Arabidopsis thaliana: one gene and its partner. The protein of the gene in region 2 interacts with the protein of the main gene of each other region in a pairwise test. Each region holds a gene or a part of one and is shown on either strand. Other genes may lie near its edges.

Evidence for each region.
Region 1: the proteins of LUT1 (region 2) and RPK2 interact in a protein complementation assay, tested with the Arabidopsis thaliana proteins (one large-scale study listed by BioGRID).

What each region holds. Positions count from the first base shown.
Region 1 is NC_003074.8:378,350-385,094, reverse strand, and holds RPK2 (receptor-like protein kinase 2), read right to left. Parts: upstream 4,746-6,745; 5' UTR 4,370-4,745; coding exon 914-4,369; 3' UTR 513-913; downstream 1-512. Other genes in the region: AT3G02125 (pinin-like protein), read right to left, coding at 5,713-6,001, 6,112-6,745.
Region 2 is NC_003074.8:19,690,989-19,698,092, reverse strand, and holds LUT1 (Cytochrome P450 superfamily protein), read right to left. Parts: upstream 5,337-7,104; 5' UTR 5,282-5,336; coding exon 4,784-5,281; intron 4,635-4,783; coding exon 4,338-4,634; intron 4,249-4,337; coding exon 4,051-4,248; intron 3,962-4,050; coding exon 3,860-3,961; intron 3,762-3,859; coding exon 3,621-3,761; intron 3,552-3,620; coding exon 3,444-3,551; intron 3,283-3,443; coding exon 3,200-3,282; intron 3,103-3,199; coding exon 2,940-3,102; intron 2,845-2,939; coding exon 2,815-2,844; 3' UTR 2,402-2,814; coding exon of another isoform or gene 2,024-2,401; intron 1,915-2,023; coding exon of another isoform or gene 1,578-1,914; intron 1,470-1,577; coding exon of another isoform or gene 1,405-1,469; intron 1,038-1,404; coding exon of another isoform or gene 738-1,037; 3' UTR 551-737; downstream 1-550. Other genes in the region: UGT73D1 (UDP-glucosyl transferase 73D1), read left to right, coding at 1-357; AT3G53140 (O-methyltransferase family protein), read right to left, coding at 738-1,037, 1,405-1,469, 1,578-1,914, 2,024-2,401; VPS37-1 (Modifier of rudimentary (Mod(r)) protein), read left to right, coding at 5,603-5,616, 5,943-6,125, 6,220-6,307, 6,738-6,777, 6,865-6,911, 7,003-7,104. UniProt on the Arabidopsis thaliana protein: Heme-containing cytochrome P450 involved in the biosynthesis of xanthophylls. Specific for epsilon- and beta-ring hydroxylation of alpha-carotene. Has only a low activity toward the beta-rings of beta-carotene.

The DNA.
Region 1 (6,745 bases), about 19 Mb from region 2:
TAAGAGAACTAAGTTTTCTCTCTAAGTCTAATTGTGGATCGTCAGGACTGCTTTGTAACTAATGCGATAAGTGAGCCAAGAAGGGGGCTATATATGATTGATAACGGTGATCTTTCGTAACACACTAATGGCTATAAGCTCTAATTTCCATTCTTCAAATGAAACCGTTAGCCTCAACGAACGGATGTTTCACAAATGTTGAGCCAATGGATGGATATACTCGTCTTTATTATCGAGCAATACGCTTGGCGTTAACTATTCATGGAAGTAGCATGTAGTAGCGAGAGTCGCTCTATTTGATACTAGATACATAGAAGAACCTTTCACATCGCTGTCTTTCAAGAAGGATGAAGATGCCAACTCAACCAAAGCAAGCCAGACCACTACCGAAGAAGATCGACAATCATGAATCAAGACCCAATGATGTACCATTCAAACCCAAATGGGTGGAATTGCTTTCTTATGGGGATTATACTGATAGCATTGTCGGTCTTCTAAGTTAATATTGGGCTCATAGCCCGAGTTTTTTTATTCGCATATATTATTGGGCCCATAGCCCAAGTTTCTCAAAATGGAAATGTCAATCAAACAAAAAGGATCGGCAGTTTAAACATACTAAAAATCGAAAAAGAAAGAAAAACTCCCACAAAACTTTAGTATAAAACAATTTACAAGTGGGAGAAACAAATTAGCTACAAACAATTCTTTCTCATTTTATGGTTTTCTGCTTACTGAGAGAGATCAACCTTCCTATGGCTTCCCCTTTCAAATGTCCTTTTTACCCTCGAGAGAACCCATAGGAAATTCAACCTCTCTTTCTTCTTCTAACAACTACTACGTACACATACAAGTTTACAACTGAGAGAACTTTTTTTAAAGAAAGAATAATAATCAAATCCTGCGGAGGGAGGTGCTAACACGACGGAGGTTGTAGCTGCTTCAACCGTCTTACAACTTGCTTCATCGTCGGCCTCGTCGACAGAGAATCCACCGTACAAACAACCGCTAAATGCAGAACCTCTACTAGATCATCATGCGGACCTGCGTCCCACAATCCCGCTGTGAAAAACTCCTTTGCCCTTCCTTGTCTCAACAACATACAAGCCCATTGCACTATGTTGAAACCATTACCATACGACACAAATGACGGATCAAGTGCTTTCTTGTCCGAAAGCAGCTCTAGAAGCACCACTCCGTAGCTGTATACATCTGCTTTGTCTGATACCCTGCATGTCATTGCGTACTCGGGAGCTACATACCCAAACGTACCCGCCACACCAGTTGTTGCGTGCGTTTCCGATGTCCCAAGCAATCTCGCTAACCCGAAATCTGATAAATACGCATTGCAGTCATCATCTAGGAGGATGTTACTCGGTTTAACATCTCGGTGAAGCACCCGTGGGACGCATTGGTCGTGGAGGTAAGCGAGTGCTCGAGCTATGTCCAGAGCGATCTTATGAAGAACTCTCCAATCTCTTGTGGATCTTTCTTGGATGAATTTCTCGAGGTTGCCTCCTGGGAGATAGTTGTACACCAAGAACATCTCAGTTTCGCTAGCGTGGTAACCGATGAGAGTCACGAGGTTCGGGTGTCGAAGTCTACCAAGAGTTTTGATTTCTGCGTGGAACTGTTGGACTCCCTGAAACCGTCCGATCGAGAGGCGTTTGATTGCGACAACCACATCTTGAGAGATTTCTGCTTTGTAGGTCGCTCCAAATCCACCATTTCCAATCAGATTGCTTGCGTTGAAGTTTCCTGTGGCTCTAACCACGTTGTCAAAGGTTATTGGAACTCCGATATCCATGAACATAGTGACTTCTCGTTTTGTAGTGGCCATGATCTTCGATTTCGGATGCCATTTCCTTGTGTAGAAGAAGAGAATTACAAGAGCAATTAGTACCGAGACAATCGCTGAAGCTGATGCGATTGAGGCGATCTCTAGCGAGTTGAATCCACCCTTTCCTGGCGACTGAGATGGAGCGTTTTCAACAGGCGAAGATGCGTAATCCTGCGTGATAGAATCACCCGTGGAGTCTCGGGAATCCGAAGACGGTGTTGTCAGAGAAAACACATGGCAAGGTCGAAGATAGGGGTTTCCACTAACAGTGCTGCATTTCGTCAGTCCATTGGTTGAAGGAACTGGACCAGACAGATTGTTGGAGGAAACATTGAAAACAGCAAATGTCGCAAAACCCGACGGGATTGGGCCAGAGAGGTTGTTATTGTTGAGAAGCAGGACAGTGAGATTCTTCAAGTTTACGAAATCATGAGGAATACCGCCAGATAGATGATTTGAAGAGAGATCAAGAACATCCAAGGAATGTAACTGACCAAAGCTCTGAGGAATTTGCCCCGTGAGGTTGTTATTCGCAATCGAAAGATATGTCAAAGCTGCCATCTTCTTCCCGAGGCTACCCGGTATCTGACCTTGCAACTGATTCCAGCTCAGATTAAGAGCAACAAGTGAAGCTAGATCCCCGAGACTTGTTGGGATTGGCCCGAAGATCTGATTCACCGAGGCATCAAGAATCTTAAGAGAAGTGCACATGTTGTTTAGTCCCTGAGGAATCCGACCTGAGAGCTTGTTGAAGCTTACATTGACATAAACAGCTTTGAGTTCGTCGCAGTTATCAAACAGATTTCCCGGAAATTGCCCGTACAACCGATTCCCTCCAGCAGAAAATATGTAAGAGACTCGCTTTCCCAACCGCTCCTGTGCAAGTGGTATAGACTTGAGAGTACCAGTGAAGTTGTTGTCTGCAAAATTATGAAACACGGCCGGACCTCCATCACTTCCAAGATCTATCAGGGAAGTTCCAACTTGAGCCTTCTCGGTAAAGAAGGAGAGATAAACAGACGACGGGTCGCTGTAAGATTCAATAGAAAACCTGTCAAAGTAAACAACAGGAGGACAATGGCTTGTGGTATTGTTGAGAAAATCAGGGATTACACCCGATAAGCTGTTTCCACCAACATCAAAAACACTCATGCATGGGACCGAAATCTCTTTGAGAAGCTCCCCAGTAAGCCTATTCGAGCTCAAATCAAGAAGACGAAGGTTCTTGCATTTACTAAGACCGACAGGAATTTCGCCTTTAAAGAAGTTCTGACCCAAATTAACCATCTCCAAGTTTTGACATGAACCCCAATCTCCTGGAAATCTACCTTCTAACGTAGCTCTGGGCACCCAAAGTATCTTTAGTTTCGGAAGCCTAGTGATTTCCTCCGGGATTCCTCCTTGATAGAAATTGAAATCCTCGGTCATCGAGGTTAAATCAGCGCCTGGAGGAAGATCAGCTTCCCCTCTTACACTATTAATGTCTTCATACACATTGTACAGATTTGATAGAACGAGAACAGACAACGAAGAGCAATTTCCAAGTTCAACAGGTAATGGACCACTAAGAGTGTTCCTAGAAACATCCAAAACCTCAAGCTTCTGAAGACTCCCAAATTCTAAAGGGATAGTCTCCTCCAACGTATTCATATACAACAACAACGACCTTAAACCAGCACATTTCCCCAAACTCTCTGGAATCCTCCCAGTCAAGAAATTACCAGACAAATCTAAATGCTCAAGCTTTCCACAGCTATCCCCAATATCTTTAGGCAAAGAGCCTTGAAGCCAGTTTAACGGCAAATGCAACACTCTGAATCTCCCAACAAAACCAGGAACAGTTCCATTCAACTTATTACCACCCAAATTCAAAATCTCCAACTTTGTCAGATTCTGCAGCGAATTAGGGATTTCACCTGAAACTCTGTTAAACCCCAAATTCATAACCCGCAAATTCCGTAACCCAGTAAACTGATCCGGCAATGACCCCGTCATCAAATTCCCTTCCAGATCAAGAACTTCAAGCTTCTCCATTCCCCAGATTCCTACAGGAATCTCTCCACTAAACGAATTAAAAGGCAGAGACAAAACCCTAAGTCCTGTGAGACTCATGATTACAGAAGGCAAATTCCCCGCCAAAGCTCCATGATTTCCGGTACAATCCCTCCGAACACCAAACCCATACAACGGAAACTTACCAATATCACCACAAGTGAAACGATTTCGACTAATTTCAGAACTTCCAGAGCCACTAATGTTAAGAGCCATGACTCGAGAGCTCGAATCGCAAGATACACCAAACCAGGAGCAGTAATCTTCACTCTCTTCGACCCAGCTAGCTAGAATCGAACCAGGGTCCGATACCGTTTTCTTAAACCGAAGCAACACGGATTTGTCCGAATCAGCTAAAACAGTGATTTTTCCGGCGAGACAGGAGGCGAAACAGAGTAAGCAGAGCGAGAAGACAACGTCTGAAGGCATCTGTCTGCGGAAAAAACGCCATTTGATCACTGAAGAAGGCAAAGAAGTCATCTTCGTAACTTATCCCCAAAAATGTTTTTACAACAAAACCCTAAACCCACCTCGCAAGGTCTGCTAATATAGCAATTGACGAGCAAAAGATCCTTCCTTTTACCGTGCGAAACAATCCCAAGCTCGACCCTTTAACCCTAATTTAGGGAGATGATGAGAAGCTTTGTAGTGAGAGAAACTGATGAAGCAGAGAGAGAAAGAGATGAGAGAATTCAACACTGTCACTGAGGAAGACGCGTTTTTTTCTTCTCTCTCTCTTTTTTTTTTTTTTTGATAAAAGATCTTAAAAATGTTTTTAATTTAATTTATGCAGAAAAAAATAAAAAATCGTTCTGTGAATGAGAGAGTGGGTCCACTTTCCTTATTTCCTATTGGCTAACAAACTCTTTAGTGTAATTTTAACTTGGAAGAAGCAATTTTTGATTATTTATCGATCATGTAGTGAAGTTAACATTAAAAGTTTTTAACATCGATCATTGTAGTCTCACCACATCAAATCGCAATAGGTACATGATTGATAACAGTAGGTAGATGCAAGATTATCTTATCACTAAATTTGAGGACAGATTATTTTAAATTTTTTGTTTATTCGAAGTGATGAAATAAAATATGTTGAGTCACAATAAATGTAACAATATTTCAACTCTCCTAGACGTATCAATCTCTCATCGACCAATGTTATGCTAAGATCTTGAAGCTAACATTTATTACAGATAGATATATGTATATGGACATGCATTATATTAGGAAAATTTCATAATCTCACGCTAAAAGAAAAATCGCCTGCCACTATACATAAATGCATGTGACAAAGATGTGTTTCTTTATAACAAAAATATTGAGAAATTGTAAAGTGAAAAAGGGACAGAATCGCCTCTTTTCAAGGATATAACTAAAGGAAGCTTCAAGATAAAGCAAATTAAAATGTTTTTTCTTAAATATAAATTTATAATTTTGTCATGTACACAACACATTAGCCACATTTATGGGGATAAAAAGACTGAGTTTATAACCTTTTCAATTAGAAGAAAAAAAGGTTTGTTTTTCTTTTAGTGAAATATATCTGTCTTTTAGCTACTACTTATAATAATGATACGTATTGAAATAAAGTAATAATGAAATGTGGTCCTTGTATGTATGCATCACCATGACATAAGAGTTATATCATCCATCAACCGGTTTACAACATCCGGTAACCGAAATTAATCGAACCAAAATATGGTGTTAATCCTGAAAACCAGAACTCGGTTTGGATCATCACTCTTGGTTTACAACTATTTTCATCCGTACAATTTACACATAAGAAGAGGAATCGCTTCAAACGCAAACGCTAAAAGTCTCCTCTACTTGAATGAACCGCATTTTGAAGGACAATGGAAGCAAGAGAACCAGCAGGTTCTTGAAGCTTTTAGCGATTGCGTTCGAGACTCGAATTTTTTTGATGCCTTCCTTTGTGGTTGTGGTTCCGGCTGAGACTCAGTTAGCATATTAGATTCTGAATAAGGTTGTAGTTGTTGTTGTGGCTGTAGCATTCGCGATTGAGGCAGCTGATACTCGGGTCTTCGCTTGTGGGAAACGTTTCCTTTGATTTGCATAGACGGCGTTTTGGTAACTGCATCTTCTTTTTGCAATCTGTTACATAAATTCCAAAGAAAGTAAAATTAGGGTTTTAAAGTTTCTTCTTGCTCAAGAAATCATCAAAAATGGATCGATAAATTGAGATTTTGAAGAGAACGACTTACAGTGGGAATGCGAAAGAACCAATGCTGTTATTGCTAGTGTCCGAACGACAAGAAATGCTCGGAGAATGTGAAACTATACTGTTCGAGTCTTCAGGTTTATTCTCCTTCACAGTTTCTATTACTTCTTTCTCTACTAAAGCCTCCGCTTCGATCATATCTGTTTGTTCTTCTTCATGTTCGTCGTCGCTCTCGACTTCACTCATCTTCTCTTCTTCTTCATTATCCTCAATATCTGAGTTTGAGTTCTCCACCTGGTATGGTTCCTTCTCTGCAATCGTCTCTTTCTCATATTCATTTGGTTTCTTAACCGGAGGTGGAAGAGGAACCGAGTTGATTTCGGTTATCACGTGAACCGTTTCTTCAAATCTCGGTATCTCAGCCAATCTCAACGCTGTTGAAATGCTAAAATTCCCATCGTGGATGCTAAACAAAGATTCATTAGAAGCTAGACTCCATTCCGTCGAATTACCCGGTTTACTAGAGAAAACTGAGGATGGAATTCTGGTTGGATCGTAACCGGGTAAATCAATAAGATGGTTCTGGTGATTTGAGGACCAAGAGGAACTGGTATATGAGCTAACAGATGAATTATAAGCCTGATGTGACTCTCTCAGTTTCTGTGCCTCAGAAGCAG
Region 2 (7,104 bases):
GTACCAATGATCACATGGCCGTTGTTCGCTGAACAATTTCTCAATGAGAAACTCATCGTGGAGGTTTTGAACATCGGGGTTAGGGTTGGGGTGGAGATTCCGGTGAGATGGGGAGACGAGGAGAGACTTGGAGTGTTGGTCAAGAAACCGAGTGTTGTGAAAGCTATAAAGCTTTTGATGGACCAAGATTGTCAACGTGTAGACGAAAATGATGATGATAATGAATTCGTGAGACGAAGGAGACGTATTCAAGAACTTGCAGTAATGGCGAAAAAGGCTGTGGAAGAAAAGGGATCTTCGAGTATTAACGTTTCAATTTTAATCCAAGATGTTTTGGAGCAATTGAGTCTCGTGTAGAAAAATCGAATGTAGAAGTTGACATAAGATTTATAAGAATAACACCAAACGATTTTTCTTTTTGCCAAAGAAGAAAAATTCATATAGATATAATGTGCATAATATGTATACTTTCGAACTCTTCTCTTAGCCTAATGAGTGATTTAGAAATACTCTTGAAATCATCACTTAAAGAGTCTTTTTTCCTTTTTCTCGAAAGATGAAACTTATATATATGGAAAATGCCTTTTAAGGATGCACTTAGAATATAGACTTTAGATTATTACATCTTGATGAAAATATTAATGTCTTCACTAGATATCTCAACTCAATTAACAAAGAGGTCTTTTGATTCATTATTTTGAAGCTTTTAGAAATATGAGAAGAAAAATGCTTGAATATTACTTCTGAAACTCTAAGATGGTGTAGAAGTAATCAATGTAGAAAGGTCGAAAAGTAGGGAATCCCGCGGAGAGACCAAGCTCTATAAACTCTTCTTCGGTTCTATGCTTACCTTTGGTTCTATAGATGGTCATGACAAAGATGTCACCTTCTAACAAGGCACGAGTCCGGTGACTTTCATCGGTTTCCTTAGGCAAGACCGGCTCACACGCAATCAGCTTTCCTCCAACTGGTAACGCGTTGTAGCAATTCTTCATTATCTGCTTGCATTCTTCATCCGTCCATGTCGTTAACACCCACTTTACACTCAAACAACAATATTACAAGATATTAATTTGGGACCAGAGAAGCAAAAAATGTGTGTATTTGTTTGTGTTGTTCTTTCAACAAACATGAGATCCCTATCCATGGTCTAACAGATCACAAGTTTTTGGTTTGAGAAATGTATAATCAATATTTAAATGATCATAAATAAATGAAAGTGACCAGTCGCATGATCTAACGATAACTAAGACTATATACTACCAAACATATTGTCCGAAGCGACTTATAAATTTATACCTATATCACTAAACATTAAAACTATATACAGAAACTAGAATTCGTCCTATTAGCAAAAATGTTAGTAGGTGTATTCTCGTGACAGACAATAATGTTACAACAAACCTTCATGAAGATAGCGTCAGCGCTAGGAACTGATTGGAACATATCCCCACCCACGTGAGTCACTCCTAAACCATACAATATATCATCCATTATTACTCCGTACATTACTAAAAATAGCTTTTTACTTTCAGAAAATAACGTACGTACAATATATCATAAATACAAAATCTCACCAGGAATATTGGGGGCTTTGGCAACAACTTCAGGTAAATCGAAATTAATCCCTTCACGGACGTTAGGAAATTGTTGAAGGATCATACGCAGACAATCCCCTGCACTACCTCCTACGTCAACCAAAATATCCACTGATTTAAACCCATCGTAGCCGTCTAATATAGCTTTCATGAACGGTACAGATACGCCAGACATTGCCTTTTGCATTAGACCATTCATCTCCTCACTTTTCCCATACTGAGCGTATGCCGCCTCGCCGTTTGCTTTCACGTACGGCTCTGTCTCCGGCTCCACCACTGCCGTGTGAACTAGTGGCCATGCTCGCATCAACGCCTCCTGTAATATATATCATTTTCACAACAAGTTTTAGACATTAGTTTATTATACCATCATTAGTCCTTTAATATATCACTCCAATTTTGGAAAATGAAAATGAGTCATAAACCTGGTGATGTTGGAGGACGTAGGCAGCGTAAGAGAGGCCGCCGGAGTCGGTTACAAGAGTTTTTCCGACGTCCGTAAGAGAGTATTTCCTCTCAATGGATCCAACAAGGTGTTCGGAGAAGACACCGTAGCTGGTGAGCATCCGAAGTATACGCTGAAGATTCTCGGGGTCGCCACCAATGGTAGTGTGAGATGGTAGGTGGAGGCGAGGGAGGATCTCGGCGGCAGAGAGAGGAGAATTGGCTCCGCCGTTCCAAATGGCGTCGGCAATGCCTAGTCGCACGGCGGCATTGAGAGACATGGGAACGCTAATCATGTTAGCAAGCTCCATAATGGCAAGACGAGCTCTGTTTCTACTCTCTGAGCTTTCGTTCTCCATTTTTTTTAATCTTCCTCGTACGTGAAAGTGAAACTACACATCGCTATAGAACCCACTAGTATTGGTTTTATATGGTTTTATATGGTTTTTAAGGTTAATGTTACGTGTGGTCCATATGGAATGGGATGGTTTTAGACCTTAGTCTATTATTTAGAAATTCAAAAAAAAATAAAATTTTGATTTTCGTAATTACTGAAAAATGGAGAACAAACACAAGCTGTATGAAAGTTTGATTTGAAATGATAACACAATTACCAAACTTTAATGGTACTAGCATCTCACTGTTCAAAATTCACATTTCCGATGGTACAACTATTTTCCATAATTCATTTTTTTGTGGTTATTTCTCAAGAGTACTATGAAACAAGTCCATTCACACCAATCAATTATCATGAAAACATAAATTCTGGTTTTTACCTTTGGCTCACCTTCATATACAATCCCTGAAATTGAAAATATCAGCATTAGAGAAATTGGAATCATTCTAAACAAAACAGACACTCTCATTAATCTCTCGAGTGTGAGAACATTGGCATACATTGGTGGTGTGTATGGTTGCTCCTGTGGTCATGCTAATGGTCTGATCAGGAACCAGCTCAACGTTTAACCGCTGAAGAAACACCGCGAGTGCCACAATTGCCTCCATCAATGCAAACTGATCGCCTACACATTTTCTAGGCCCTCCACTGAATGGGATGAATCTGGTGAAAAAAGAAAATCATCTTTTAAATTCCCTAATCAAAACCACTAATCTTGATTCAGTAGTTTGTGTCAAAAGATGTGTTCTACTGAGTTTACTTGAAATCAGTGTTTGTTTCGTTAGGGATTGCGCCATCTATGTCGAATCGTTCAGGCAGAAATTCCTCAGCTTTTTCCCATACCTTTGGAATAACAAACAACAAACACATAAGAAATGTGGGCATGAATGTAATACTAGGAATGTCCACTCCGGTTAGATATCCGAACCACACAAAGATCATTGAAGAGAAGGATTAGGCTCCCCTATGTTATACTATGGACGAGAGAAGGAAGAGAACTGTACCTCGGAAGAACGATGGATGTTATAGACTGAAATCATAATGTCTTGTCCGGTATTGACCTTATAGTTCCCAGGAAGAATGTCAGGAACTTGAGCTCTTCTTATCAAGACCTACCAGGAAACAAATCAATCAGAAAATTTAGTTCATGAATAATTAGAGAGATGAGCTTGATTGCTTACAGGAGGATGAGGATAGAGACGCATTGACTCGTTTATACAACGAGTGATGTACTTCAACTCCTTTATATCCTCGAAAGCCGGGTTTCTTCCTTCTAACACTCTGTCTACTTCTTCTTGTGCTTTCCTTAATGCAGATGAGTTCTATGAACATAGAGAATTTGAAGAGGTAAATGAGAACAGAGAAGCTCCCATCCAAGTAAATTCTCTAGCATAGCAAAGTAGAAGATACATTAAGGTACCTTACTTAGGAGATAAAGTGTCCAAGTGAGGACAGATCCAGTGGTTTCATGACCCGCTACGAGCATTGAGAGAAGATCATCCCGTAACTGCACACTTGATACCTGAAAACCCTCACAATGCAACATCAGCTTCGATTATGCGATAATGAAAGGCCAAATTTGCTTATAAACTTAAGGAAAAAAGTTTAAACCTCTTCTCTGCTTGCAAGCAAGAAACGCAGGATACTTGGGTCAGCATCATTTACATACTCCTCATCATTGATTCTTTCGCCTTCTCTTTCGACAATTTCTTTACACTTAGCAATAAGGTCTTCAACAGTTTCCCTTATCAAAGTTACAGCCTTTTCAGCTTTCACCTGTCTCGGGACTATCTTACACAATGCATCGATCTGAAAAAAACAACCAAACCCTCTCAATTAACAAGAATCCAATTGTTCCACACAATCAACAAACCACAGAAAAAACACAGGAAACTTGCCTTCCAATATGGCAGAAGATCAGTAGAACGAAGCTCAGCTTCTTTAAGAGCAGTGTAAACAGCTTCAATGACAGGACTATCAGTAGTCAAAGAATCGAAATTGTAGTTAAAAAGAGACAACCCAATGACATCAAGTGTCATCTGAGAGAACTTCGCTTCCATATTCACAGCACTTCCGTCTTCTGCATAAGGCTGCAACTTCTCAACAAGCCTCTCTGCACATTTGCAGAATACTCTCTCCACAATCACAGACAAATACCTCCTGTGAAGCGATGGAACCACCGCTCTACGCCTCGCCTATGTAAAAAATCAGACTTCAGCTAAGCCCAATAGAGAAGATTGGAATCTAAACCCTAAAATTAGAGTTACTTATCATACAAGACAGTCACACATTACTTCCACAATTCCAAAAACTTCAAAATTGAGATAGGAGGAGATGAAATTACTGTCCAAAGAGGTCCTTCAGCGATAGCGAAACCCGAACCAAATAGAAATTCAGAGACTTCAGCGACTAAGCCTTTAGCGTACTTTGGATAATTCCTCAAAACATGTTTAGCTATCGCTGGGTCGCTCACAATTACGAAATTACGAGGACCAGCAGCGAGACGGTAAATGGGTCCGTACTCATTCATCCATTTGTAGAGAGGTAAGAAGAGAGCACCTCCGAGGAGATCAGCGACATCGTCGAGCTTCGCGTTCGCGATTGGTATACCTGACTCGTCGTTTTTTCCTGAGGAAAGGGTACGAGTGAGTGTTGTGAGCCAATCGGGACTGACCCATGATTGGGATTTCGATGAATTGGTCTCGAGTTTGGGTTTGGGTTTCTCAATGGAGGATCTGATGGAGAATGTGAATTTGGGTTTTGGTGATAAAAGACGCGTAGGTTTTGCAGTGAAGAGAGAAGAGTAAGAAGAGGAAGATGGAGAAAAGAGTGAAGACTCCATTGATGACCTCTTTTCGAAGCTTCCGTGCAGAAATATTTGACTCTGTGTAGAAACGCGAACCGTTACGCGTGGATAAGGACGACGATGCATAAAACGACTACGTTTTGTTAATCAAAACTTAATATGGGCCTCCTCGTATTTGGGCCTTTTAAAAGCAAGTAGCAAAATCTGAAACGAAACAGAGAAGATCGAATTTTCTTTGAAACTCTGTAAACTCTGTTTCTGTAAAGTTGTTAAATTTTGTCGATCTGGTAGGAAGAAGAAGTACAAGAGAACAAGAAAAAGTCAATTCCTTTCGTTAGTCGGCGAATTCTAGAAACGATGTTCAATTTCTGGTATGATTTTGCGAATTTTTTGCCATCTGATTCATATGTTATTGATGAAATTGCGTGATCCAGACATTAGGTCTGTTAGCGATTAAGGAAATCTTGTTGTTGTGTAGTTTGTTGAGCTATAATGATATATTTGAGGTTTTTGAGGTGAATTGACAAGTGTAGATTTTGCTCAGCTACTGATTTAGGGTTCATAGTTACTGATATTAGGTTTACAATGATGTGCTGTATAAATGCACCTTTCAAGTTTATGAGGTGATGTATTATATTAACTTGGAAGCTGAGATAGTTAGTTGATGATGTTTCTTTTTTTTGTTGTGTACGTGAAGGGGATCAAAAGACCAACAACAAGGGCAATCTCGTCCTCAGGAAGCTTCTTCACAGTCGCCATGGTACTCGCCTTCTTTAGTTAGCTCGCCAAGCTCATCCCGGCCTCAAAGTTCAGGTCAGATTTCAGCACAAGTATCACCGGGTGAAGCAGCTGGCATTATCGTCTTCTTGAAAGACAAAAGGTTTGCTCTTTTTGTTTGTTTGTTTGTTATCCTTCTCTCGAGTGTGCGTTTTTTTTGTATGTCTTCTTTTTGAATAGTGTATACTTTTCTGTAGCGTGGATGAACTCAGGAAGCTTCTCTCTGACAAAGATGCGTATCAGCAATTTCTGCTCTCTCTTGACCAGGTCAAAGTCCAGAATAATGTAAGTCTCTAAAACAGTCAGTTGTTTCTGGATAGCTAAGAGTATTACTATTAATTGTAGTCCTAAGAATGGAGCTTCGTTAGTTATGTGTTGATATTATTCATTGGTGCTCTTTCAAGTATATACATTGATATTGTTTGAGGAAGCCTTTATCATGGCGTCATCTTCTACATGTTGCCAGTAATTAGAGCTTTCTGGTTCTTTGTTATAGTCTCTAAAACAGTCGGTTGTTTCTGGATAACCGAGGGTCTTATCTGTAGCTCTAAGAATATGTAGCTTCTTTAGTTCTGTGTTGATATAATTCATTAGTGCTCTTTCAAGTCTATACATTGATATTGTTTGATAAAGCCTGTATCATGTCATCAGCTTTCTGGTTCCTTGTTATAGTCTCTGGACGTTAATTTTTTCGTGATTTGTTTCTGTCCGTCAGATCAAAGATGAGCTCCGTAGAGAAACATTGCAGCTAGCTAGTAAGTACTCTATGGTTCATGTAATTCTACAGGAAACTTTAGTTCAATCCAGAAATCTAGAACTTTCCATTTGATCAAATGTAACAGGAGACAACTTGGAGAAGGAGCCACAGATAATGGAGCTCAGAAACCAAGTGTGTATCAAGAACCAACTTTTCTTGTTCAGTTTTACCATGTTATACCTTTTCGATATCTCTGATTTACCAGTCTTTACTTATTTTACAGTGCAGAATTATCCGTACAACTGAGCTCGCAACTGCGCAAGAAAAGCTTAATGAGCTTGAGAGGCAAAAAGAAGAGATCCTCAAATTCTACTCCCCTGGTTCT